Oryctolagus cuniculus: one gene and its partners. The protein of the gene in region 5 purifies or fractionates together with the protein of the main gene of each other region. This does not show direct contact. Links are inferred from orthologs where the notes say so. Each region holds a gene or a part of one and is shown on either strand. Other genes may lie near its edges. The genes, in order: CRCP, POLR3G, POLR3K, POLR3GL, POLR3H, POLR1D and POLR2L.

Evidence for each region.
Region 1: the proteins of POLR3H (region 5) and CRCP purify together in Homo sapiens (affinity purification with mass spectrometry; 4 studies listed by BioGRID and IntAct, with this or other methods). This does not show direct contact. The link is inferred for Oryctolagus cuniculus from reciprocal best matches to the Homo sapiens genes POLR3H and CRCP.
Region 2: the proteins of POLR3H (region 5) and POLR3G purify together in Homo sapiens (affinity purification with mass spectrometry; 5 studies listed by BioGRID and IntAct, with this or other methods). This does not show direct contact. The link is inferred for Oryctolagus cuniculus from reciprocal best matches to the Homo sapiens genes POLR3H and POLR3G.
Region 3: the proteins of POLR3H (region 5) and POLR3K purify together in Homo sapiens (affinity purification with mass spectrometry; 3 studies listed by BioGRID and IntAct, with this or other methods). This does not show direct contact. The link is inferred for Oryctolagus cuniculus from reciprocal best matches to the Homo sapiens genes POLR3H and POLR3K.
Region 4: the proteins of POLR3H (region 5) and POLR3GL purify together in Homo sapiens (co-immunoprecipitation; 4 studies listed by BioGRID and IntAct, counting the BioPlex papers as one, with this or other methods). This does not show direct contact. The link is inferred for Oryctolagus cuniculus from reciprocal best matches to the Homo sapiens genes POLR3H and POLR3GL.
Region 6: the proteins of POLR3H (region 5) and POLR1D purify together in Homo sapiens (affinity purification with mass spectrometry; 6 studies listed by BioGRID and IntAct, with this or other methods). This does not show direct contact. The link is inferred for Oryctolagus cuniculus from reciprocal best matches to the Homo sapiens genes POLR3H and POLR1D.
Region 7: the proteins of POLR3H (region 5) and POLR2L purify together in Homo sapiens (affinity purification with mass spectrometry; 4 studies listed by BioGRID and IntAct, with this or other methods). This does not show direct contact. The link is inferred for Oryctolagus cuniculus from reciprocal best matches to the Homo sapiens genes POLR3H and POLR2L.

What each region holds. Positions count from the first base shown.
Region 1 is NC_091450.1:66,207,975-66,211,474, reverse strand, and holds part of CRCP (DNA-directed RNA polymerase III subunit RPC9), read right to left. Parts: intron 3,229-3,500; coding exon 3,192-3,228; intron 923-3,191; coding exon 824-922; intron 1-823. UniProt on the Homo sapiens protein: DNA-dependent RNA polymerase catalyzes the transcription of DNA into RNA using the four ribonucleoside triphosphates as substrates.
Region 2 is NC_091445.1:13,209,319-13,212,818, reverse strand, and holds part of POLR3G (DNA-directed RNA polymerase III subunit RPC7), read right to left. Parts: intron 3,215-3,500; coding exon 3,085-3,214; intron 1-3,084. UniProt on the Homo sapiens protein: DNA-dependent RNA polymerase catalyzes the transcription of DNA into RNA using the four ribonucleoside triphosphates as substrates.
Region 3 is NC_091450.1:34,570,322-34,574,373, reverse strand, and holds the start of POLR3K (DNA-directed RNA polymerase III subunit RPC10), read right to left. Parts: upstream 2,801-4,052; coding exon 2,690-2,800; intron 635-2,689; coding exon 547-634; intron 1-546. Other genes in the region: SNRNP25 (U11/U12 small nuclear ribonucleoprotein 25 kDa protein), read left to right, coding at 3,234-3,275, 3,996-4,052. UniProt on the Homo sapiens protein: Core component of RNA polymerase III (Pol III) which synthesizes small non-coding RNAs using the four ribonucleoside triphosphates as substrates. Can mediate Pol I proofreading of the nascent RNA transcript.
Region 4 is NC_091438.1:48,928,009-48,932,068, forward strand, and holds the start of POLR3GL (DNA-directed RNA polymerase III subunit RPC7-like), read right to left. Parts: upstream 2,561-4,060; intron 2,055-2,560; 5' UTR 1,960-2,054; exon of another isoform or gene 1,869-1,959; intron 1,648-1,868; exon of another isoform or gene 1,518-1,647; intron 1-1,517. Other genes in the region: ANKRD34A (ankyrin repeat domain-containing protein 34A), read left to right, coding at 2,677-4,060. UniProt on the Homo sapiens protein: DNA-dependent RNA polymerase catalyzes the transcription of DNA into RNA using the four ribonucleoside triphosphates as substrates. Specific peripheric component of RNA polymerase III which synthesizes small RNAs, such as 5S rRNA and tRNAs.
Region 5 is NC_091442.1:117,537,247-117,541,417, reverse strand, and holds the start of POLR3H (DNA-directed RNA polymerase III subunit RPC8), read left to right. Parts: upstream 1-1,371; 5' UTR 1,372-1,451; exon of another isoform or gene 1,452-1,471; intron 1,472-1,689; 5' UTR 1,690-1,709; coding exon 1,710-1,820; intron 1,821-2,443; coding exon 2,444-2,540; intron 2,541-4,171.
Region 6 is NC_091440.1:86,895,497-86,899,510, forward strand, and holds the start of POLR1D (protein POLR1D), read right to left. Parts: upstream 2,801-4,014; 5' UTR 2,648-2,800; coding exon 2,622-2,647; intron 1-2,621.
Region 7 is NC_091432.1:353,577-356,499, forward strand, and holds POLR2L (DNA-directed RNA polymerases I, II, and III subunit RPABC5), read right to left. Parts: upstream 1,504-2,923; 5' UTR 1,434-1,503; coding exon 1,339-1,433; intron 737-1,338; coding exon 628-736; 3' UTR 501-627; downstream 1-500. UniProt on the Homo sapiens protein: DNA-dependent RNA polymerase catalyzes the transcription of DNA into RNA using the four ribonucleoside triphosphates as substrates.

The DNA of each region.
Region 1 (3,500 bases), on a different chromosome or scaffold from region 5:
CTGGGAGGCAGCAAGTGATGGTTCAAGTAGGTGGGTCCCAGTCACCCAAGCAGGAAACCTGGACTGAGTTCCCAGCTCCTGGCTTCAACCTGGGCCAAGCCATTGCCGGCATTTGAGAAGTGAAACAGCAGATGAAAGCTCTGTCTCTACCTCTCAAAGAAATGAATAAGTAAATAATTTAAAAATCAACATCAGGTAGCAGGTTAAGCTGCAACCTGCAACACTGACATTCCATACGAGCAATGGTATCAGTCCCGGCTGTTCTCTTCCAATCCACCTCTCTGCTAATGTACCTGGAAAAGCAGTGGAAGACCCAGATGGAGCTCCAGGCTCCTGCCTTCAGCCTAGCCCAACCACGGCCGCTGTGGCCATTTGATGAGGAGACTAGCAGAGGGAAGATCTCTGTGTCTCTCTCTTCAACTGTCTAGGTTGCTTTGCCTTGCAAATAAATCAATCTTTAAAAGCAACAACAACTGTATCCTTTCCCTGTGATGCATGTACAACAGTCATGACTATAATAGCTTTCAGTCAGATCTGTGAGTCATGCAGTAAATTACAGAAGCCTCAGGATGAGGATTCCCAAATATGGAACTGGGGTTCAGAGGTGAGGGCAGTCAGACTATTCCTTCCACTTTTGTGGCTAACTAACCACTTCTGTTGGCCAAATCACCCCCACTTTTATATAAACAGAATAAACACTGGGTTAGAGTAACACTCCGCACATGAGGTAAGAGGTGATCTTGATTGGGTGGCCAGTTATCAGCAGAGTAAACCAACAGCGCTCAGTGGTGGCTTAGGGAGGCCTCCAGAAGCCCAGGCTTACTTCATAGGTGATAGTATTCAAGTTCTGTTGCCCAGAACTCTGTTTATTCTTCCCACTTTGTTTACGCCGCTCTTTCAGATCAGTTAGTAACTGGAACACCTAGGAAGAGATATACAAAAGACTTTATAAATACATTTGAGAAACGTTCTATTCCAAGGTCCATGATACTGGAAGATAATTAGGGGGTACGGCACTGTGGCATAGTGGGCAAAGCCTCGGCCTGCAGCACCGGGCATCCCATATGGGTGCCTGTTTGAGTCCCAGCTGCTCCACTTCTGACCCAACTCTCTCCTTATGGCCTGGGAAAGCAGCAGAAGATGGCCCAAGGGCTTGGACCCCTGCACCCACATGGGAGACCCAAAAGAAGCTCCAGGCTGCTGTCTTCAGGTTGGCCCAGCTCCAGCCATTGTGGCCATTTGGAGAGCAAACCAGTGGATGGAAGATTTTTCTGTCTCTCTCTTTCTCTCTCTAACTCTACCTCTCAAATAACTAAATAAAATCTAAAAAAAAAAAAAAAAAAAAATTTTTTTCATGTACATTTAAAAAAAAAGACAATTAGGTAAGTATAATACCTCTTTCTTCCTTACAACCTGCCTCCCAACTCTTGGATTGGAGTAAATATGAATCCCAGAAGCATGAGACATTTAAAAAATGCTCTTTTATCTAAATCAAATAATCCAAATTATTTTAATTAAAATATTTCAAATGTTTCCTATCAGTATATGCCATCTAACTGATCTCTGATCTCAAAAAACATACCAGATATTTCAAAAATATATAAATATTTTTATATTTAGATAAGAGTATAAAATAAATAAATTTTGCTAAACTAAATATATAATATTTTTAAAAAGGGTTTTGTTCCTCTAATATGAAAATTTAGCATAATAATTTCTTTCCAGAAAAGAAAAATTATGAAGCAAGTGATTTAATAGTTTTCAAAAAAGAAAGGACGAAATGCTACATTTCCCAGCAAGAGAAAAACAGATGTGTATCCATGCTGGGGTGGGAGAAGGGATCTCTGCTGTTTCAGAGACTCTGCCAGAAAATGGAGGGAAATACAGGCTCACAGACCATTATTAGATACAATGCAACTCCTATCCCTGCCTGCTGTTCCTTTTACAAATACATGGGGCCCAGTGAATGCATGGTGTCCCCAATGGACAAAAGATCAAACACCTAGCAAAGTTCAAAATGGACAAAGAGGTTCCTAAAAGCCAATGGGCTGACCAACAGACATTTCCTTCCTGTTTTAAGCAGCAACCATTTAGGATGAACCTTTTGGAAGGAATACAGCCAATCGTGTTTATTCCAGTACCTTCTCTAAATATCACACAATGGAAACTCAGACCTCCTTTAACTCTTTATGAGTTTAGACTCTGGCATATGGAAAACTGGGCCTGTCAGATGCTGGTACCAAATAGGCCCTGTGCAAAATAGGTACACAAAATACTATCACATCTCCTCCTTCATCAACCTCTTTCTTTCCTCCCTTTCCCCAGCAACCCTACCCTGTAAGTCCCTTAAATTTTAAGTCTTCTAATCATTCATAATGGTGATTCAACTAAACCTTTACTTTCAAAACAAGGATGGTACCACCTATGGACTGAGGATCAAAATAATAATGTATAAAAAAGCATTTCATAGGTAAAATGGGTAATTATGAAGAGAAATAAGCATTTTATTAGAAAACTTTTGCACACAGAAACAGTGCTAAAATAGATGGCTTCCATCCCAAGAAGGCATCCCCAATGGTTACTAGAATTTTGAGGACTTAGAAAGTTTGCTTGATTTAAAGTCTTCCCATCTTCCCAGAAATACTACGTATGATTTATCAAGCCTCAAATAATTCAAGATCCAACCGACAGGGCCGTCTATCCTGTTTTAAAAGTGAAAACCCGGCCGGCGCCGCAGCTCACTAGGCTAATCCTCCGCCTAGCGGCGCCGGCACACCGGGTTCTAGTCCCAGTCGGGGCACTGGATTCTGTCCCGGTTGCCCCTCTTCCAGGCCAGCTCTCTGCTGTGGCCAGGGAGTGCAGTGGAGGATGGCCCAGGTGCTTGGGCCCTGCACTCCATGGAAGACCAGGAAAAGCACCTGGCTCCTGGCTCCTGCCATCGGATCAGTGCGGTGCGCCGGCCGCGGTGGCCATTGGAGGGTGAACCAACGGCAAAGGAAGACCTTTCTCTCTGTCTCTCTCTCACTGTCCACTCTGCCTGTCAAAAAAAAAAAAAAAAAAAAAAAAAAAAAAGTGAAAACCCAAATGAATCCAGTAATTTCTAACTAAATCTAATTCAACAATCCCCAGAAGTAAAGAGATACCTTTCTGGGAGAAAAACATATACAACAGTCCACTTCAAAGCCACTTACCTCATAGTTACTGAGCAGTGCAGAATTGGCATCCTTCCTGCAAAAGAAAAGTAAGTTATTATCAGTCCAGGCTTATACCCTTCTCTGGGTATTAAATATCATAAAAGAATCCAGTAATCCAGTTCAGCAATTTGGGGACTACATCCTAAAACTGAGAAATGTCCTAAATCCTACATGGTTTAGCAGGTTGTAGACAACTTCAGAGTGTTCTTTCTTTTTTATATCCACAGCATATCACACACCCATCACCAAGCAGATGATTAAAATACTATACTTGTCCCAATTCTATACAGGCAGAAGTATGAGTTC
Region 2 (3,500 bases), on a different chromosome or scaffold from region 5:
TAAAAGTAACTTTAAAATATTTACAAACATAAAAACAAATTGGATCCACATGATATATGAAGAAAATTGTTTCTTGGTGTTCCGAAGCATGCTCCCAATGTCCCTAACAGATTCACACAAGCACTTGGAGGATTCGACATACTTTTACATTAGACTTTTAAAACTTTTAAAACCACCACATTCAGTTACGCAAATCTATCCCCGATCGAGAGAAAAGACTACTTGTAAAAAGACTGACGGGTTGCAGCCAGCACTATGGTGTGGCTGGTTAGGCTGCTGCCTTCAGTGCTCACATCCCATATGGGTGCCAGTTCAAGTCCCAGGTGCTCCACTTCTGATCCAGCTCCTTGCTAAGGCTTCTGGGAAAGCGGTGGAAGACGGCCCAAGTCCTTGGGTCCCTGCACCCACGTGGGAGACTCAGAAGAAGACCCTGGCTCCTGGCTTCTGATCTGCCCAGCTCTAGCCATTGTGGCCATTTGGGGAGTCAACCAGCAGATGGAAGACCTCTTTCCGACTATCTCTCTCTAACTCTGCTTTGCAAATAAATAAATAATTTTTTTAAAAAAAAGACTGAAGTATACTTTGTACTGAGTATTTTAAACAGAACAAGCATTTATTTGGTCATACTGTGAGGGGTCAGACGGGTTAACAAGTAGTCAGGGTGGTCCCGGTAGAAATTCAGGGTGCAGAATGCTTCCCCCCAAAGTTACTTTTAGCAAGATTAAAAGAGCCTGCCTGATACTCCTTAGCAATTTCCAGTCTTACCATGAGAACAGCTAGGGAGAGGTGATTCCATTCTTCTGAGCTCTCAATTTACTATAAAGTAAATTAGGTATCCTACTCTTGGGACAGCTCTTTTGTTTTCTCATGAGCAACTGAGACAGGGTAAAAAGATTACAGATCAGGTCTTTTGATGGGTTTTGTCCCCGCCTTACACTGATTGACAGCTTCTTCTCCAAAACGGGGCTTAAAAGCCCCAGTAGCACCAGCCCCTGAGGGCTCTGCCCCTCATGGAGCCCTAGCAGGCCACTCTGGCCGGAGGTCTCTGACTCTAACAAATCTTGCTTTTAACTCCTTGTAAATGCTTTCTCTCTGCCTGGTCCGCTTGGAAATTCTTCCTCCATGTGAGACAAAGAACCGAGGTAACATTTTCTCCACTGCCATTTCACCCGTAACAATACTTTGTTCAGTTTATGAAATGAAAGCTTTTGCTACGAAGATTTTTTTTATTGACTTGAAAGGCAGAGTCAGAGAAAAAAATGAAAGTTTTAATTCCAATTTTTCAACTCAAAGAGGTGAAACAGACAATAATCATCAAAGTAAACACACAGTACTTTGAAGCAAACTCTCTCGCATCAAACCATTATATAACTTCAAGCGTATTGAAAATTCAATGAGCTTGTCGAAAATGCTTTTTACAATCCCAAGTACATGACTTCCTGCTTGGCGGTGAGCCACTTTTAAGTCTTTTAGAGAGAGGGAAAATGGAATGCATTTTTAATACTAATGCAATGAGATGATCCTTGATGAATTTCTCCTGTTTTAATGATGTTGTTTTGAGCAACCTAAGATGATATTGATCTCCAATTTCAATCAAGGGCAGATGCTGAAGATCAATGCAACTGCTCAGAAGGGGCTTCCCTGCCTCTAAAGCCACTTCCCACTTCCTGCTGGAGGTTGCTGTGCCTTCTCCAGCCAGAGGCCTCCTCTCTGCTCTTAGCTTCACCAGTGAGCACATTATTTTATTTTATATTTTCCATCATAGCAGATATACCCATGACTAAACAAACCTAAGGATTTTTAAAGTTTGTAACTTAAATATTAAGTAATGGGAGACATGTAGGCATTTACAATAATGACAGCAATCACAGCATTATATATATAAACAAAAAAAACCTAAATCTAATAACAGGGAATCAGTTGATTAATAATGTTATATATAGCCTGACAACAGCTAATACACAATCATTAAACTCACATTTTTCAAGAATAATGAGGATATGTGAAAATACTAATAATGTGCTACTGAATACAAAAATTAAGATATGAAGTCATATGAATCCAATTCATTAAATACATACAGAAAAAAGTATGCACGCTATTCACTAAAAGCTTACTAGTAGTCCTGTAGACACAGCCATGGGTAATTTTTACACGTGGAAATTGGAAATTTTTGTTTTTCATAATTTTCTTTTTTTTTCTGGACAGGCAGAGTGGACAGTGAGAGAGAAAGAGACAGAGAGAAAGGTCTTCCTTTTCCGTTGGTTCATCCCCCAATGGCCGCTGCGGCTGGCGCATCGCGCTGATCTGAAGCCAGGAGCCAGGTGTTTCTCCTGGTCTCCCATGCGGGTGCAGGGCCCAAGGACTTGGGCCATCCTCCACTGCACTCCCGGGCCACAGCAGAGAGCTGGCCTGGAAGAGGGGCAACCGGGACAGAATCCGGTGCCCTGACTGGGACTAGAACCTGGTGTGCCGGCACCGCAGGCGGAGGATTAGCCTATTGAGCTGCGGCGCCAGCCATCTGTTTTTCATAATTTTCACTAATCATGTATCACTTCTACTGTGAAAGATATTTTTTAAAATATCAAAAAATCTGGGAGCAGCACTGTGGCATAGCAGATAAAGCTACCTCCTGCAGTGCAGGCATCCCATACAAGAACCAGTTTGAGTCCTCGCTGCTTCACTTCCAATCCAGCTCTCTGCTATGGCCTGGGAAAGCAGTAGAAAATGGCCCAAGGTCTTGGGCCCCTGTACCCATATGGGAGACCTGGAAGAAACTCCTGGCTCCAGATTGGTGCAGCTCTGGCCATGTGGCCGGTTGGGGAGTGAACCAGCAGATAGAAGACTTCTCTCTCCCTTCTTCCCTCCCTCCCTCTCTAACTCTGCCTCTCAGATAAAATAAATAAATCTTAAAAAACCCAAAATCCTTATTTTTCTTCTGTTAAGCCCCATAAACACGGTTTTTTCAGGGTAGTTGTTAAATTCTGAATAAACTGAGTGAGCATGAAATGAGAACACATCCTGTGCTTACCCACTGGTCCATGTATTTACATTAAATTCACATGATCAGAGTCCAATACACACCTTGCTTCTCTTCGGGCGGCTCAATGAAATAAGGCATCCTTTTCATTGTTTCTCTCAGCTCCTGTTTCAAGGCCAGCATGTAATCTTCACCTTCCCCTGTTTTCAGTGGCACTGGCTTATAATCTGTATCCTATTAAGAGACAAAGAATGTTTTAATGCCCCATGTTGTTTATTTTCTAGAAAATATCAGTTTTACTGAAAAACCATGTTTTACTGGGCACTAAGCTCTACGATCAATTCACAAGGTGCTGACCTGCTCTGATCTACCTTAACCTTTCAGCCCACTTCCCATCTTGCCCTTCTTTTCGAGGTGGGAAAGAGACCAACACTCGTTCTGCTGTGTAGTCTGCTGATGAATGTGACCTCATGTTGCAAAACACAAGGCACCTGGGGCCGGCACAGGGTACAGCAGGTTA
Region 3 (4,052 bases), on a different chromosome or scaffold from region 5:
ACAATTATAAAATAACAAATATTATAATTATAATATTTATTATAAAATAACAAATATTATTTTTGTTGCTTTATAATAACAATAATTATAATATCTTCCTTTTTTTTTTTTGACAGGCAGAGTGGACAGTGAGAGAAAGAGACAGAGAGAAAGGTCTTCCTTTTGCCGTTGGTTCACCCTCCAATGGCCGCCGCGCTGCGGCCGGCGCACCGCGCTGATCCGAAGGCAGGAGCCAGGTGCTTCTCCTGGTCTCCCATGGGGTGCAGGGCCCAAGCACTTGGGCCATCCTCCACTGCCCTCCCGGGCCACAGCAGAGAGCTGGCCTGGAAGAGGAGCAACCAGGACAGAATCCGGTGCCCCGACCGGGACTAGAACCCGGGGTGCCGGCGCCGCAGGCGAAGGATTAGCCTAGTGAGCCGCGGCACCGGCCGAAGGCAATATCTTCCATTCTGAGGTGCTTACATCATCCAAGTGATCAGATGAGACAGGGCACAGTTAGCAACCTCAGGCCACTCCCAGCTCGGAGTCAGAAAAGGTTCCCCTCACCTGCAGTGGAGTCAACATTCTCCCAGGCGGCCGCTCCCCCAAGCACGTCGTCCACTTCTTTCAGCTTCGGATACTTCCGGTTTGTGACCTAACAGAAACAAGTCCTCAGCCTCCAAGCAAGGGGACAGGACCACCAGGGCAGAGAATGGAGGGAGCCCAGCAGACGCACAGCCGTGAGGAGGAGGGGAAGTGACAGGCGCTAACCATGTGTGCGCGAGAGTGCGCGGCTGGCCGGCTGGGCACCCCGGGGCTCCAGGTGCGTGCCAGGCCAGTGCGGGCGGCTGGCCGGCTGGGCACCCCGGGGGCTCCAGGTGGGTGCCAGGCCAGTGCGCGCGACTCGCCGGCTGGACACCCCGGGGCTCCAGGTGCACGGCAGACCAGTGCGGGCGGCTCGCCGGCTGGACACCCCGGGGCTCCAGGTGCACGGCAGACCAGTGCGGGCGGCTCGCCGGCTGGACACCCCGGGGCTCCAGGTGCACGGCAGACCAGTGCGGGCGGCTCGCCGGCTGGACACCCCGGGGCTCCAGGTGCGTGCCAGGCCAGTGCGGGCGGCTGGCCGACTGGACACCCCGGGGCTCCAGGTGCGTGCCAGGCCAGTGCGGGCGGCTCGCCGGCTGGACACCCCGGGGCTCCAGGTGCAGGGCAGACCAGTGCGCGCGGCTCGCCAACTGGACACCCCGGGGCTCCAGGTGCACGGCAGACCAGTGCGGGCGGCTCGCCGGCTGGACACCCCGGGGCTCCAGGTGGGTGCCAGGCCAGTGCGGGCGGCTCGCCGGCTGGGCACCCCGGGGCTCCAGGTGCAGGGCAGACCAGTGCGCGCGGCTGGCCGGCTGGACACCCCGGGGCTCCAGGTGGGTGCCAGGCCAGTGCGGGCGGCTCGCCGGCTGGACACCCCGGGGCTCCAGGTGGGTGCCAGGCCAGTGCGGGCGGCTCGCCAGTTGGACACCCTGGGGCTCCAGGTGCGTGCCAGGCCAGTGCGCGCGGCTCGCCGGCTGGGCACCCCGGGGCTCCAGGTGCACACCAGACCAGTGCGCGCGGCTCGCCAGCTGGACACCCCGGGGCTTCAGGTGCACGGCAGACCAGTGCGGGCGGCTGGCCGGCTGGACACCCGGGGGCTCCAGGTGGGTGCCAGGCCAGTGCGGGCGGCTCGCCGGCTGGACACCCCGGGGCTCCAGGTGCAGGGCAGACCAGTGCGCGCGGCTCGCCAACTGGACACCCCGGGGCTCCAGGTGCACGGCAGACCAGTGCGGGCGGCTCGCCGGCTGGACACCCCGGGGCTCCAGGTGGGTGCCAGGCCAGTGCGGGCGGCTCGCCGGCTGGGCACCCCGGGGCTCCAGGTGCAGGGCAGACCAGTGCGCGCGGCTGGCCGGCTGGACACCCCGGGGCTCCAGGTGGGTGCCAGGCCAGTGCGGGCGGCTCGCCGGCTGGACACCCCGGGGCTCCAGGTGGGTGCCAGGCCAGTGCGGGCGGCTCGCCAGTTGGACACCCTGGGGCTCCAGGTGCGTGCCAGGCCAGTGCGCGCGGCTCGCCGGCTGGGCACCCCGGGGCTCCAGGTGCACACCAGACCAGTGCGCGCGGCTCGCCAGCTGGACACCCCGGGGCTTCAGGTGCACGGCAGACCAGTGCGGGCGGCTGGCCGGCTGGACACCCCGGGGCTCCAGGTGGGTGCCAGGCCAGTGCGGGCGGCTGGCCGGCTGGACACCCCGGGGCTCCAGGTGGGTGCCAGGCCAGTGCGCGCGGCTCGCCGGCTGGACACCCCGGGGCTCCAGGTGCGAGCCAGGCGGCCGGACAAACACAGGGAAGGAGGCCTGCCGAGGCCTTCTGCCCTGGACCGCGCTCGGACCACAAGGCAGCAGAAGGGACCGAGGGGGGCGGGAGCACTCCAGGGAGCGCGAGTAAACGGAGGCCGCCCGAGGAACGCCGGGCGCCACGCGGGACGCGGAGCGGCACCGAGGGCGGCCGCGGCCGGAGCTGGAGCCGCCGCCCTGCCCCGACCAGGCGACTCCGAAACCAGCCCCAGAAGGGAGGCGGCGGCCGGGCCAGGCGAGAGGCGCCGGCGTGCGCGCGTCTTGGACAGATGCGCCCACAGGCCAGGGACGCGAGGCCGGGGCCGCCGGAGGCCGACCCTAACGTCGAGGCCCACCTTGCGGGTGATGTTGTGCACGTAGGGGCAGGTGTTGCAGGCGAAGCGGTGGCAGCGCTGGCCCTCCTCCACGATCAGCCCGTTCCCGCAGCCGGGGCAGAACAGCAGCATGGCGGCGCCCTGGCCCGCGCGCCCCCACGGCCGGAAGCTCCCTGGCCGCGCGACGCCGACACCCCGCCCACCTCGACCTCACGTTGGTCCCGGCGGCCCCCGCCGCTAGCCCACCAATAGACACGCCGACCCTCGCTCCCAGCCGGCCCTGCGGCAAGCCGCCTCGCACTCCCATTGGTTGGGGCGCCCGCCCCGCCCCTTGGCCCGCCGGTGGTTGGACGTCCTCACGGAGGTGGGCCCAGTCCGCGTCCGTGCTCCGCCTCCCGAGCGTGGAGTGGCTGGGCCGGCGGCCGGCGGCTCCGGGCTGGCGACCGTGGAGGCAGCGGAGCAGGCCGAGGAGGCCGAGGGGCCCGAGGTGCCGGAGGAGGATGAGGACGAAGAGGAGACGCTGCCTCACTCGGAAGCGGTGGACGTGTTCCAGGAGGGTCTCGCCATGGTGGTGCAGGACCCGCTGCTCTGCGACCTGCCGATCCAGGTGCGCGCGGCCAGAGCGGCCACCTGCCGCCGGAGAGGTGCTGATGGGGGACTGCGGCCGGCCTGGTCCGGGCCCGGCGTGAAGGGGCAGGGGAAACGGTGCCAAACTTGATGCAGAAGGTTGTCGGTAAAGGACAGTTGAAGAATGGGAGCTCCGGCTGCTCCGCTCCCTTCCGGCTCCCTGCCAGCGCTCCTCGGGGAGCGGCGGAGGGCGGCCCAGTGCCTGGGGCCCGGTGAGGCTCCCGGCCCCTGGCTTCGGCGTGGCCTAGCCCTGGGTGCTGGGGCCGTTTGCGGATGGAAGACTCGTGTTTCTCTCCCCTCTCCTTCCTCCCCGCCCCGCCCCCGTCAAATAAGTAGATGCAGAGGCGAATTTCCTCTAAGAAAAGTGTTATACTGCAGTCTTATCACTGCCGTGTGTTCCTGCCTTGTGTATTTTGCACACATGCCTCCCACTTAGTCCAGGGCTCTGGCCTGGATCCTGGTGACCAGGGGCTCTTGGGCAAACTGAAAGGCCCAGCGTCTCCCTCCTCCCCCCCCAGCAGCCCCTGGGGGCTCACTCTCCCTGCTTCCACAGCCATTCGGCATGAAATAGAGAAGTCGGGTGGAACCTGAGACTGAGGTGCTAAAGGGAGCCCCTCCCCCGGCCCTCCATAAAGTTTGGTTCCGTTTGGGCTGATAAACAAAGCCAGGGTTCCCACTGCCCCTGCTTGGCGCTTTCTAGGTGACTTTGGAAGAGATCAACTCCCAGATTGCACTAGAATACGGCCAAGCGATGACG
Region 4 (4,060 bases), on a different chromosome or scaffold from region 5:
CTGGAAGAAGCTCCTGGCTCCTGGCTTCAGAGCGAAACAGTTTTGGCTGTTGTGGCCAGTTGGGGAGTGAACCAGTGGATGGAAGACCTCTCTCTCTCTCTCTCTCTCTACCTCTCTCTCTAACTCTGCCTTTCAAATAAATAAAATAAATCTTTAAAAAAAAAAAAAGAGTTACAGGCCAGCGCCGTGGCTCAATAGGCTAATCCTCCGCCTTGTGGCGCCGGCACACCGGGTTCTAGTCCTGGTTGGGGCGCCGGATTCTGTCCCAGTTGCCCCTCTTCCAGGCCAGCTCTCTGCTATGGCCCAGGAGTGCAGTGGAGGATGACCCAAGTGCTTGGGCCCTGCACCCCATGGGAGACTAGGAGAAGCACCTGGCTCCTGGCTTTGGATCAGTGCGATGCGCCCGCCGCGTCGGCCATTGGGGGTGTCTCTCTCTCTCTCTCTCTCTCTCGCTGTCCACTCTGCCTGTCAAAAGTAAAAAAAAAAAAAAAAAAAAAAAAAAAAAGAAGAAGAAGAAGAAGAAGAGTTACAGAGAGGAAATAAAAGATTTTCCAACCACTGGTTCATTCTCCAGATGGCTACAATAGCCAGGGCTGAGCCAAACTGAAATCTGGAGACAGGAAGCCAAACTGAAATCTGGAGACAGGAACTCCATCCAGGTCTCTCACGTGAGTCACTTTCACTGCTTTTCCAGGCGCAATAGCAGGGAGTTGGGTTGCAAATGGAGCCACCAGGATTTGAACCAGAACTTATACAGGATGCCTGGTAACAGGCCTTCCCTTATGTTGCTAGACCACTTCATGAGCCCCAGGGATGTTATTTTTAGACACTTGTGTCTGCGGACCTCCAGTCTAAATTATCTCAGGACCCTAGGTGAACTTTTCAGATCCTTAGCATTCTTTCCTCGTTCCCCCATTTCCCTTGGTACCTTCCAGCTGGACAGAAATTCATTCCTAAAATATGCAGATGGAAGCTATGGTAACCATGGAGACAGGGCAGGTGGCAAGGAGAGGCAGACAGTGAGAGAGACAGATAGTGACAGATAGGAAGACAGAAAACACCAAGAGCAACCAGAATAGAGACCTTCAAGCAAGATGGAAAAATAAAGAGTCTAAGCAAGACTGAGAGTAAGGAAATGCAATGAGAGAAGGTGTTACTTGGTTCCCTCCTTTCCCTGCCCCCTTTCTAGTAGGTCTCTCCTCCCAAGATTAGAAGGAGGCGGCACCTGGGAACGCCCCTCGCCCTATGTAAAAATGCCCCCAGACATCCACTTTCCTTCCTGCTCATCTAAGGGGTCTGCATAAAGGAGCTGAGGCTCTCTGTGCTGTGTGTCCCCTTTTGGTGGAGGTGGGGTAGTGATGTACCTCCCTGTCTGATTCCTGACTGGACCGTGATCTACCAGGGATTTCAACTGCAAGAAGGCAGTCAGACCTCCCGTTTCTCTGCACACTACCGTATGGATGCCGGCTCCGGATCCCAATCGACTGGCTACACCCCTCTGCACAGTGTGTCATGTGCGGTGTGTGACAGGTTAAGTCTGGCGCACAAGCACACCAAATGCGGAGAATGGAGATCTGCTGAGGCTCTGCCGAGAATTCGGATGGTCGCTGTCGTGGTCTCGGAGTCGTCCCCTAAGGGACACTTTAGGTTTGTTGGGGCTTAGGGGAGGTCGGCTCAGATAAGGGAAGTCAAGATTGGAGCCTCCAGGTTTTTCAGGGTTTATGTGTGCATGAGTGGGGGAGCGGTTTGCTGCCGGACGCCCCCACCCGCAGAGACTGGGCTATAAATAGCATAGGAGAGCTCCGCCCCCTTCCCCCCCGCCCCCCCAGCTTCTCTCCTCCCGAGCCGGCGCTGTGCCCGGGGCGCACCGGGAGGAGGGACCAGGATCCGGTGCCGGGGCGCAGATTCTGACACCAAGGGAATCGGGTGCCCCCCCACGCCATGTGGGCCCCTGGGAACCTGGCTCCGCCACCCCGGCTGTCCGGTGAACACGGCCTCAATCCTGGCCAGGCAGAGATTCTGCGGACATTCAGGTATCTATTTGGGTGCACAGCCTGGGAGGGGAAAGAGCAAGGAGTGATGGGGAATACAGCAGGAGCAAAAGAAACCCCCAATTCTCCCTCCACCCGTTTTAGGTCCCAAATGCAAGCTGCTTCCCTCCCCCTACTCAATTTTTGGGGCTGTGGCAACCTAAAAGAGGTTAGGAATGGGAATATGTGTTTATACGGGAGCATGTGTGTGGGTGGGTGGCGTTCAGCATCCTAGAAAGGGGGATTCCAAGTGTGGGTAAGAAAAGGGGGATGCTGGAAAGGTCTGAGAAGCCGTGGGGGTGAGAGTGGGGGTACGGATGTCTCTGCGCGTGCACGTACGCAGCTGCACGCGCGCTCACCCTTCAGCGCGGGTGCACCCTTCCCACCTCCTCAGGCATGCGCTGGGGGGAAGGGGAGGCTCCAAGGCACGAGTTAGAGGCAGGACTGTGTGTCGCCTCACACCGGACGCCTCCAGCGGTGCCTCAGTTTCCTTGCTGAATCCGCCAATATGATCCATCTCTTTCTTGTAGGGTTCAGCTTCATCACTGAGACCCCAGGCCTCTGTCAAGCACCACCCCCAGACCCCTAGCCATCTGCGGCAGGTCCCAGACCCGGCTCCATCAGTGCCCTCTCTCCAGCCGCAGCTATGCTGCACACCGAGGGCCACGCTCTGCTTCGGGCTGTGGGTCAGGGTAAGCTGCGTTTGGCCCGTTTGCTTCTGGAGGGGGGCGCCTACGTGAATGAGGGCGATGCCCAGGGGGAGACTGCGCTAATGGCGGCCTGTCGGGCCCGTTACGACGACCCCCAGAACAAGGCGCGCATGGTACGCTACCTCCTGGAGCAAGGCGCGGACCCCAACATCGCAGACCGCCTAGGGCGCACGGCTCTCATGCATGCTTGCGCCGGAGGTGGGGGCGCCGCGGTGGCTTCGCTGCTCCTGGAGCACGGCGCAGACCCCTCCGTCAGAGATCACGCAGGCGCCTCGGCGCTTGTCCACGCCCTGGACCGTGGGGACCGCGAGACCCTCGCCACACTGCTGGACGCCTGCAAGGCCAAGGGCACGGAGGTCATCATCATCACTACCGATACGTCGCCCTCGGGCACCAAGAAGACGCGGCAGTATCTCAATTCTCCACCGTCCCCGGGGGTGGAGGATCCTGCTCCCGCTCCACCTAGCCCGGGAGTCTGCACGTCGCCTTCAGAAATCCAGTTGCAGACTGCAGGAGGAGGGCGTGGCTTGTTGTCCCCTCGCGCCCAGGAGGAGGAGGAGAAGCGGGACGTATTCGAATTCCCTCTTCCTAAACCCCCCGATGACCCTTCCCCTTCAGAGCCTCTCCCCAAACCGCCCCGCCATCCCCCGAAACCACTCAAAAGGCTCAACTCCGAGCCCTGGGGCCTGGTGGCCCCTCCACAGCCGGTTCCGCCCGCCGAAGGGAGGCCGGGGATCGAGCGCTTGACCGCCGACTTCAACGGGCTGACCCTGAGCGGCAGACCCCGTCTTTCCCGACGTCACAGCACCGAAGGCCCGGAGGACCCGCCCCCGTGGGCGGAGAAAGTGACGGGCGGGGGGCCTCTCTCGCGCCGGAACACAGCGCCCGAGGCTCAGGAGTCTGGCCCAGCCTCGGGGTTGAGGCAGAAGCTCAGCCGCATGGAGCCGGTGGAGCTCGACACCCCCGGACATCTTTGCCCCGACTCGCCCGAGTCCAGTCGCCTGTCCCTGGAGCGTCGCCGATACAGCGCCTCCCCGCTGACCCTCCCTCTAGCCGGCTCGGCTCCCTCCCCGCGCCAGTCCCAGGAGAGTCTGCCCGGGGCTGTATCGCCGCTGAGCGGACGGAGGCGGAGCCCCGGGCTGCTGGAGCGGAGGGGCTCCGGGACGTTGCTCCTGGACCACATCTCGCAAACGCGCCCAGGTTTCCTGCCTCCGCTCAACGTCAGCCCCCACCCTCCCATCCCCGACATTCGTCCCCAAGCCGGAGGTCGGGCGCCTTCGCTGCCTGCCCCTCCGCATGCGGGGGCGCCAGGCTCTCCCA
Region 5 (4,171 bases):
GTATCTCATATGGGTGCTGGTTTGGGTCCTGGCTGCTTCCCCACTGATCCAGCTCTCTACTATGGCCTGGGAAAAGCAGCAGCAGGTGGTACAAGTGCTTGGGCCCCTGCACCCATGTGGGAGACCCCGAAGAAGCTCCTGGCTCCTAGCCTTGGCCTGGCCCAGTGCTGGCTGTTGAGGCCATCTGAGGGAGTGAACCAGTGGATGGGAGACCTCTGCCTCTCCCTCTTTCTCTGTAATTCTCACTTTCAAATAAAAAAAACAAAATGAAAATCCAGTTATTCCCATATCCACCAATTTTATATTATTTTTATTTTTTGACAGGCAGAGTTAGCGAGAGAGAGAGACAGAGAGAAAGGTCTTCTTTTTTTCTGTTGGTTCACCCCCCAGATGGCCGCCATGGCCGGTGCTGTGCAGATCCTAAGCCAGGAGCCAGGTGCTTCCTCCTGGTATCCCACACGGGTGCAGGGCCCAAGCACCTGGGCCATCCTCCACTGCCTTCCCGGGCCACAGCAGAGAGCTGGCCTGGAAGAGGAGCAACCAGGCCTAGAACCCGGTACCCACATGGGATGCGGGCGCCGCAGGCGGAGGATTAACCAAGTGAGCCATGGCGCCGGCGCTTCCACCAACTCTTAGAGGCAGCACGGGTATAAGCTTAGAGGGGCTCATCTCTGGCACGTGGCAGCCGGTGGCCCTGGACAGCTTGCTGAGTTCTCTTAGCCCGCGTTAGTGTCCTGTCAGAGGGACAGGACAGGATCCTGGGGGGAACAGAACGGGCAAAGCTGGAGAGAGGTGCCAGGGCCAGATCGCACAGAGCCCAGTGAGCCGCCAGGAAGGAAGGTTTTGGACTTTATTCTCAGTTCAGCGGGAAGCTACAGAGGAGTGTGTGTGTGTGTGTGTGTGTGTGTGCGCGCGCGTGTGTATACTATATATATATGCACTGTTATATATTCTATATACATACACTATATAGAGACTATATATATAGTCCCAATTGATTATCACTTCAAATTGAGATGTAATCTGCCTACAATGAAATGCACGGAGTCTGATGAGAGCTGTCAGCTCTACGAAGAGCTAAAAGGGGGTCGAGAATATTTCCATCACCCAGGAAGGGTCCCTCCGTTCTACTTCCCTGTCAGGGCTCCCCGACTCCGGGCGGAAGGTCGGAAGCATTGCCGACTTGCGTTTTGCAAGGATCGTTCCGGATGCGGGGACCCGCAAGCAAGAGATGCCCCAGCCCGGGAGAGCGGCAGGGGGTTGCCTAGCAACGAGAGGCGCCGCCGGGTCTTCCCGGGGAGGCCCCGCCCCTCCCCGTGCGGCAGCCTGTAGAGAGCCCCGCCCCGCGTCTGGGGGCGGACAGAAGCTTCTTATTGGTCGGCTCTCCGGAAGCGACGGGATTCGGAATCTCGCGCACGGTGGTTAACTCCCGCAGCTGCGTGCCGTGCGCGGTGCGAGGCGGCGGCGCGTGGTGCGGGCGCGGGGCGGAGGGGCTCTCGTGCCGTGCGCTCCAGCGAGGGCGCTGCCCGCCGGGCCTCTGTTTCCCGTCGCTTCCGCAGCCGAGCATGGCCCTCGCCGGGCGCCGCAGACGCTACCGCGCAGCCCCGCTGTTGGCCTGAGGGGGGCCGGTCGGGCACGGGGCTCCCAGGACCCCAGGCCCCGGTGCGTGACCGCCCGTCCCTCTCGCAGAGCCGCCAGCGCAGGCCGGGATGTTCGTCCTGGTGGAGATGGTGGACACCGTGCGGATCCCCCCCTGGCAGTTTGAGAGGAAGCTCAACGACTCCATCGCCGAGGAGCTGAACAAGAAGCTGGCCAACAAGGTGCGGGGCGGAGCGTGCCTCACGGGGGCTGGCGGGGAGCGGGGGAGAGGCCGAGGACGGGCCTGAGAAGGGGGCTCGTGCCTGGGGCGTGCGCGCTCGCACAGCGCGGGTCCCTTCGTCTGCGGCGAGTTGCCGGCCCGCCGCAGGTGCGCCGCCGCTGGGGCGCGGACCAGCCGTCTGACGCGGGATGCAGGTGGCCCCGGCTTAGCGCGCGCCCGTCACGGCTCTGTTCCCTCTCTACCTCTGCCTGCCTGCTCCATGCCTGTCTGTTGATGGAGTGGATGAGTGGCGGAGCGGTGTCCCGACCAGCAGGCGGAGCGGGGGTCCCTTCGTTGGGCGTGACGAGTTGGGGTGCACGCTGCCAGGGACTGGTGCTCGCGAACCTGTGGCACGAGGGAGCCGCGTCCGCAGCGAGGGGGTCAGGCAGCTGTGGTGGGAGCCGGCGGCCAGGCTGAGCCCTGCTGGCCGGGAGGCGCTGACCAGAGGGTTTGTGGGTGGGAGAGAGGTGTGCAGGGCCCCGGCCCGGTGGGCGGAGCCGGGCGCCTGTCCTGGAGGCGCTGCGGCTTGGATGGGCGGGGGCGGGAGGTGGCGGCAGCCCGCGGTCACCGTGTGTCGCGGCGCAGGTGGTGTACAACGTGGGACTCTGCATCTGCCTCTTCGACATCACCAAGCTGGAGGACGCCTACGTGTTTCCAGGCGACGGCGCGTCGCACACCAAAGGTAGGCGTCTTCTCGGGGCTGGGGCTCCTGGCAGAGATGGCCGGGGTCCTGTCCCACCTGGGGACCCTGGAAGTGGGCAGCCCCCTCCCCCTCGGCCTGAGCGTCTGCCGGGGCGGGGGTGGATCGGCGACTCTCAAGGCCTCTCTGGGTCCGAGGCTGTGGTCCATGGCTGTGCCCCTCCTCCCGCCCACTGCCAAGCCCTGTCTGCCTGGTGCTCTGGCCACTCACTGCCCTGGGAGAGGGCAGGCCAGGAGCGTGGGGACGCCGGAGTGGCCCTCGCGGTTAGAAGAGAGAGGCAGGCCGGCGCCGCGGCTCACTAGGCTAATCCTCCGCCTAGCGGCGCCGGCACACCGGGTTCTAGTCCCGGTCGGGGCGCCGGATTCTGTCCCGGTTGCCCCTCTTCCAGGCCAGCCCTCTGCTGTGGCCAGGGAGTGCAGTGGAGGATGGCCCAGGTGCTTGGGCCCTGCACCCCATGGGAGACCAGGAAAAGTACCTGGCTCCTGGCTCCTGCCATCGGATCAGCGCGGTGCGCCGGCCGCAGCGCGCTGGCCGCGGCGGCCATTGGAGGGTGAACCAACGGCAAAGGAAGACCTTTCTCTCTGTCTCTCTCTCTCACTGTCCACTCTGCCTGTCAAAAAAAAAAAAAAAAAAAGAAGAGAGAGGCAGAGGGAACGGAAGAGCAGGCCGGGGGGGACCTCAGGGGCACAGGACGCAAAGCTTAGCACTGACCTTGCGAGCTTTGGTGCGCGCCCAGCGCAGGGGTGTCTGCATTCCGGCACGTGCCGGGAGGCTGCCAGGCGTCTGTCCCGGCATCCCGAGAGCTCACTGGTCCACACGGTGTTGCCGTGCGGTGCAGAGAGCACAACAGGCTGTCTGTATGAGTAGAAAAATCAGACCGTGGCATGGAAGCCGTCTTGAGGGCCCCTGGCCACAGAGGAGGCCACCAGGCCAAGCCTGGTGTGCACTGGACGGGGCCTGGCTGTCCAGGAGACAGGTGGTCACAGGCACGAGGGCCTCGAGGAGAAGTGAGGTCGCAGGGATCTCTGCTCGCTTGATTTCTGACACCTGGTGTAGGGTTTGCACCGCTGTTTTGACTTATGTGTGTATTTATTTATTTTGAAAAGCCGAGTTAAAGAGGGAGAGACAGAGCTTGTTCATTTGCTGGTTCTCTCCCTAAATGGCCACAACAGCTGGGACTGGGCCAGGAGCTTGGAGCTTCATCCAGGCCTCCCACATGGTGCAGGGGCCCAGGCACTTCATCCGGGAGCTGAATAGGAAGTGGAGCAGCCGGGACTCGAACTGGTGCCCACCTAGGTTGCAGACAGCTGCTTCATCCACGACACTACAACATCGGCCCCTCCCACTTCTATTTTTTATGTATTTTTATTTCATTTCTTTGAAAGGCAGAGTTAGATCTTTCATCCACTGATTCACTCCCCAGATGGCCACAACAGCAGGGGGCAGGCCAGCCGGAAGCCAGGAGCTTCATCCGGGTCTCCCACATGGCTGGGAGGGCACACTTTGAGCCATCTCCTGCTGCTTTTCCCAGGCCATTAGCTGGGAGCTGGATTGGAAGTGGAGCAGTGGGACTATGAACCGGTGCCCGTGAGGGGTGCTGGCACTGCAGCCTA
Region 6 (4,014 bases), on a different chromosome or scaffold from region 5:
TTTCTGCTTCAGGGCCTCTGTACATGCTATTCCCTCACAATGTTAATTTCCATCATGAGAGCCTTCTCTTCCTGTAATCTTGGGAAGAGCTTCCCTGACTTCCATACCTAAAGCAAAATTCTCTCTCATGCTTTCTATCTTGATATTGTATTTTCTTCCCCAGAATTACAACTTTTTAAAAATATTGTTTCTCTTATGCAACACTTATTGTGTCTCACTATTATACCTATCCCCAAGGTACAAACCAGAAGCTCTATAAATAAATATCTTTAAAGAGGCTCTAGGGCAGCTCAACTAAGAGTTACTGAAAAGCTAACATGCCATAACTACCTACAGGGATTCATCTCATATTTACTAAGTGTCCACCTGCTGTCCAGTGTTGTGCTAGGTCCCAGGATCACACGAATAAATAGGATCAACTAAGGCCCCAAAGCACAGTGCATTGGGATATGGGAGTGCTCAGGCTCTAGGGTTGACAGGTATTTAGGATAATTGAAGAAGGAAGTTCTGGTATGACTGGTATGAAAGATGTTGAAGATGTAGACAGATACAATGGCTCTTGGATGTGATTTCACTAATATTTCAAGTTTTCCAAGTCATTTTCTCCACATGGTATTTTCCCTCTGTGTCCTTTCTCTCAAATAGTGTTTCTTCTATATGACCCTAGGCTACAGTTGGATACCTACTTAGACTAAAAATGTAATTTGCTCATTCCAGGTTTCTCCTCAGGCAGTAAACAATTATTCTATAGATGGTACAAAGATGGAGCTGGATAACTCCTGAGACCCTCATGTGAAACCAGAATTCTCAAAATTCTTTCAAATTATTCCCTAACCTTACCCAATCCCCTAAGAGAAAAGGATACAACTTTCTCATCAGTAAAATATCTAAGAAGCCAAGTCCACATCCTGACCTTCTTTCTTTTTGAAACCCACCAGTCTATCTGCGTAATGGTCTATTCCATCTCCTCTTTGCCTCACCACCCCAATCCTAGTCAGGAATGTATACTCCTTTTGATTCCCATGATGAAACCACTATTTTGGGTGCCTGATGCTCTGTTTTATCACTTTAAATGTTGGCTCTACTGCAAGCAAATAAAGTCATCCTTGAGGATGTTGCAAGGAACAGAAACCACTCAAAAATAGTTTCAATAAAAGAGGGAATTTATTAGGAGAATACACAGGTTCTTGCGGGGATTCCAACAGCTGTGATGAATGGGTCAACAGCTAGAACCATTTTTTTTTTTTTTTTTTGGAAAGATAGAGCAGGTTGTTGTAATCACAAACTTCTAATTCTGGGTTCTGCACAATCATGAAGAAGAGTATCCCAGAGATTAGTCCTCCTTGTATCCTGCACAAGGGACTAGAATGTGGATTCACTTCTGCTTGCTTTTTGATCCTTATAGTGCTTTATGCTGGCCTCAAACTTGTCAAGCACATGTTGGCAGACATTCATGAGCTCATTCAGCCCTCTCTGAAATGGCTCAACAGCTGGAAGAGCACCTCGAGTCTGAATGCGCAAATTAATTTTGCTCTCTGAAGGATGGGTCGTAGTGTAACCACAAAATTCCACTTCCGGGTTCTTCATAATCATGTAACGCAGAGAATTTCCTAGGGTATGGTCCTCCTCGTGCAAAACAAATGTCACACAGTGTCTATCTGTTCCAGCTGCCTGGACCATTTCCAGGGCTGTCTTCCTCTCGCCTTCGGCCATTGAGGTCTTCAATCCAGACATTTTTCTACACACATATTTTTTATAAAAGTGAGATCATACTGAATATTGTAACTAGCTTTTTTTTTCATTTACTATATCACAATTGCCACACATCATTACTCTAATCCACAGCAATTACACACAGAACTGTCAGCCTCTCTCTTTTCTGCCTCCACCACTTCTACCAATGAATATTTAATTTGCTGACTCCAGTTTCTCCCTGCTCCATTAACTATCCACGTGGGCCACACGGAGCATCTTCTTAGAAAAACATACACTTAAGTGTCTGCAAAGACATTTCTTTTGGAAGAGTCACAAGAAAGGGATATAGCATAGGGTGAGCCCTGCTGGAAGAGGAAAAGGGAGTTGAAGGTGTAGAAAAACACAAGATTGCTCCAGCATATAAACAGAGACTACAGATTATCAATGTGCAGGCCCAACTATGGCTTCCACTTGCAAGAGGTAAGGAAGCTAGGAAACGGTAAGAGCTGAAACAGTACAGCGGGAGGGAGAAACAGAACTCAGCGCTTTGAGGCAGGGCTACACGGCTAACAGTCTGCACGGAGGAGGAGGGAGAGCGGTAGTGACGGGGGGGCTTAAGCCGGACTGAATACGCCGCTGTTCTAACGGGGTTGGGCAGTTTCGGGACCCAACTCTGCTCTGCCAACTGGTCCGCCCTCCTCGAGAACTACTGTCCCTCGGAGCGCCTCTATTCAAACACATCCACGACTCCTCCCTTCTCCTCCCCGTCGGGCCCTGTTCCCTCTCTCAGCGTCCCGGGTCGGGCCCCTGCTGCTCTGCAGGGCCGCGGAGGTTAGGCCCGGGCCGGGCCGCGTGCCCGGTACCGCCCGCTCCCCTGCCTGGGCGCGGCCTACTCCGCCCGCCCCGCCCGCCTTCTCGGCCGTTACCTCTCCAGCTCTTGGTCGTCCTCCATCGCGGGTGCCGGTTCCAGGATCCTCAGGTGGTGCTGGCCGATCGGAGGCTCTGCCCCATGCCGCGAGCTGAGCGGCTGAGGCAGGAAGGAAGGAACGACGGACGGAAGAAGGCGGCGACGGAAGGAGGGAGGAGGAGCCGCAGCGGCGCGGCAGGGTCCGGGCGCTGGGCGGGACGTGGAGGCTCCGCCCCCGGCCCCGCCCCCGGCGCGAGGAGGGCGGTGGCGCCGGGCCCGAGCCGCTCACCTGGCGCGCCCCCAGCCTGGCGGCGTGCGGGGCGAGCCGGGAGGAGGGCGGCGGAGGGCCCGCTGGCGTCGCACCCGGAGGCCCCGGTCACAGTGCGTGCGCCCGAGCTCCACCTTTGGTACCGTCTCCCCAACTGGTGGCGAAGGGGGCAGGGCCTTACCTGCCGCCCCCACATCACCTCCCTTCTTGGGACCCAAGTCCGGCCTGCTAGACTCGACTGGAACCCTGTGGCCTCCCGGGAATCCAACCTCTTGTGGGACCGCAGGCTTGGGCTATACCGTCCTTAAATAGGAGGGGCTGAGTCTCGTTAACAGAACGTGGTGCTTCAAGACAGTACTCAGTGGGGTTCTTGCAGCTAAGCATCTCCCCCGGGACACAGGACAAGCGTTTACCGTTTTCCTTAGGGGAGAAGTGGGAGTTTGGGAGCACACTCACCCACCCCGTCCTTTCCTTCCCCCGGCCATGCACCTCCCTTCCACCCTTTTCTTTACCCCTTCTGCACCCCACCCCCGGGGAACCTCCCTCTCATCTTTGTTCCCAGGCGTCCCCTACCCCGCTTCGGCAGCCTTTCCTCGGCGGGGTTCCCTCTCCGGCCCCTTCCTCTCTGGGAGTGTTCAGTGCTGCTCCCCGCTGCTCACCCCCGGCTCCCGCAACCTCTCTAACGCCGGCCAGCCCCGGTCGCTGCCCTCTACCCCGGCTGTCCTCTCGCCCAGCACACCTACACGCCTGCTCTCCCGCGCCACCTGTTCCCCTCGACCTCCCCCCACCCCGCTCCGTGCGTCCCCTGCTCAGCTGTCCCGCTGTCCCCGCGGCTGCCCGGCGCTCGCTCACACACTTGCCGAGCGCCTTCCACAGAGGAATCAGGCGAGCGGCGGGGACAGCCCCAGGCGGGTGGGGGAGGGCGAGGGGCGAGGGACGGAGTAGGTTCACTCTAACCTAGGAATGACGGCCCCTCCTGGTCCGCCCCCTGCGTTCTCTGATAGGTGGATCCGCCTCTGATCCGCCCCCTCCCCGCCCTGTGGCGCCGCCGATTGGCCCAGCAGCGTGTCGGGTTGGGCCGCTCAGCCCGGCGCTCGCCCCCGGGAAGGCAGCAGGGGCGGTTGAGAAGTGAAGTCTTGGCCAG
Region 7 (2,923 bases), on a different chromosome or scaffold from region 5:
GCGTAGGGGTGCTGGCGTCTCCAGCTGGCCCTGGGCCCACTGTGGTCACTGTGGCACAGGCAGTGAGCAGACGAGGGGCCTGCAGGTCCTGCCAGGAGCCGGGGACAGCTCTGCGATGCGGCCAACACCCTGGGGACAGCAGTGGCTCGGCCACCATGGCCCTGCTCTGCCCTGGTCCCCGTCCCCAGCTGACCGCGGGCTCGGCCCCGTGTGGGTTGCTGGGAGTAGCTGCTCCCTGGCCCTCAGCCTGGGCCCGCAGGGACAGCCCGGGAAGGGCCCCCGGGAGCCTGAGGGCGCTCAGGGCTGGTGCGACCCCGACAGGGCCACAGGGTGGGGACCCAGGCAAGGGCAGCCGCTGACCGCAGCAGGCAGTGCAGGCTCGGACGAGCAGCCACGCTGGGTGGGCGGGGACCAGGGAGCAGGAACCAGGACCCCGAGACAGCTGGGCCAGGTGGACTGGGGGGGGGGGGGCGGAGCGAGGCCAAGGAGGGGACCAGTGGTGTTTGTGCAAGGACTTTACTGGGCGGCTGGCGACATGCGTGCGCGCGGCCCGCCTCTGCTCCCGGCGTCTGACAGCCCGGCCGCGAGGACGCAGGGCAGGACGCCGCGGGCCATGGCGGGGCGGCGCTACTTCTCCAGGGGCGCGTAGTTGAGCAGTTTCTCGATGAGGTCCACGTGGGCCAGCAGCATTCGGCGGCAGCAGTAGCGCTTCAGCCCCAGGGCGTCCAGGGCGTCCCTGCGACCAGACAGCAGTGAGGCGGCCTGCGCCGGGCTCGCCCCCAGCGCGCCCCTTCCCACCCGGGGGCTCCGGCCTCCCGGCCCAGCCCGGGCCCAGCGGCCGGAGCATCCCTGCGACCAGACAGCCGGGCTCGCCCCTGCTCCAGGCCAGGTGGACAGGTCCCCCCAGGATGCACCGGGGAGGAGCCACCCAGGGCCACCCCTTCCCCACCCAGAGGCTCCAGCCTCCCGGCCCAGCCCCGGCCCGCCCTCTCCCAGGCTGGGCTCACGGTGGCCAGGGCAGCCCCGGCGCCCCCTCCCCCGGGGGCCGGGACTCCCGACCACGACCGCAGCCCCGCGGGACCCCCACTCTCAGGGAGCCACCCTTCTACTTCCGGAAACCAACGAGACGCTTCCAGAAAACTCCTGCAGCGCTGGCTCCGGGGGGCGGAGGAGGCGGCTTGGGAGTGAGAAGGCGCGACCGAGGGGCCTCGGCAAAGCAGCCCCTGCCCCTCCGCCCCGCCGCAGCCCCGCGTCAGCCCGCGGCGCGGGACAGGAGGCGCGGGTGGGCCCGGTCCCCGCCCCGCCCCGCCCCCGGGCCCCACGCGCCCGGCGCCTCACCCCTCGGTGTACTCCGCCTGCAGCAGCCCCAGGTAGGCCTCCCACTTGTTGCCGACGATCTTGCCGCACGTGAAACAGCGCACCGGGATGATCATGGCGGCGCGCACTCCGCGGCAGCCCCGCGCACTGCCGGGCCCGTCCGCGGCGCTGCAGGCCCCGCCCCGGGCGCGCCCACTGGCGCGGGGTTCCTCGGCGCCGATTGGAGGCCGCGTCCGGCGGCGCCCCCCGTCCGGCGGTTTGGTACGTGCCGCGCTACGGCGACTGGGCTCGGCCAAAAGGGCTCGGCGGCGCCGGTTCGCGTTTCTCGTGTCCGCTTGACTGACAGCTGCGCGGCGGGAGCGGACGACGCGGTGCGGCGGCGGGAGGCGGCGGCCCAGGTACTACGCGGGCGCCGGCTGGACCCGGACGCGGACATCAGCCGCGGCGCGCGAGCGCCACCTCCAGTGCGGAGCCCCAGGCCGGTCGCAGCAACAAGTGGGGCCGGGCGAGGGGCCCGGCGAGAGGGTCTGGCCCCGGGGCGGGAGGCCTCGGACGGACCTTCCCGCCTCCCGGCCCGGCCCGGCCTGGACCCGGTCGCTGTCCCTTGAGCCCTGCGCGAGGCTCGGGTCCCCGCGGGGAGTTGCTGGGAGCCCCGACGGCAGTCTGTCGGCGTCTTGTTCGCTCTTTCCCGGGCCTGGCGCTGGGCGTGTGGTCAGCCCCTTTGAGCTGACCCTCGAAGGCCAGGGCCCCCGCGTAGGGGCAGCCCCAGCTGTGCGTCCCCTTCAGGGGCTCCACGGGCGGGGCTGCTGCCTCCCGGGTGGACCGGGCTGAGCCTGGTGCCCCGGCTGCCCCAGGCGGGCTGGGGAGCCGCAGGGCTGTGGGGGTGTTGCCCGTGGCCCCCGCGGGGCTCTGGCCAGGTTTGCTGGCCTTGGATGTGTGGCCGGGGCGGGGTCCTCACGCGGGACCCCGGCATCTGCTGAGTGCCCGCTCAGGGCAGACGCTGGACAGGGACGGGGACGAAGGGTCTCAGGTCCGGAGTGGGGCTGCCCAGAGCCACTGCCCTGCCAGGGTTAGTGCCCTCTCGGCCACGTGCGGAGCCACGAGCCCTGGCCACTTCCCTTCTCTGCCTCCCTCCCCCAGGCTGAGTGGACGCACATCCTGCCCTGGCCAGAGGGGCAGGATGGGGCCGTGAGTCACCGTGGCCTGGGGTCAGACCCAGGCTCGGCGGCCGCGGCTGTGGAGGAGAGGGAGCCCGGGTCCGGGAGGCCAGCCCGGTGGGCGCCCAGCGCGTGAGTGGGGCCTTCCTGGGGGAGGGGTCAGGGGCCTGCCCCGCCCCTGCTCCCACTGGGCGCCGCTGTTTACTGTGGGAGTGGGGGAGTGAGCCGCCCTCCCCTGCGGGGGCCCTGGCCAAGGCGGCATTCCTGGGATTCCGCGTGCGTGCCGACCTGAGGTGGGGGGGCTCCCGGATGTCCCCCAGCGCGCCCCGCCCCCTCTGCACTTGCGCCTGCTGGGGAGCCTCGAGGGGTCAGCCCTGGCCTGGCCCGTGGTGGCGTGGGGGGCAGCAGCTGGGCCTCTCTGGGGAGGGTGGGGGGCTTTCCTGGTGGTG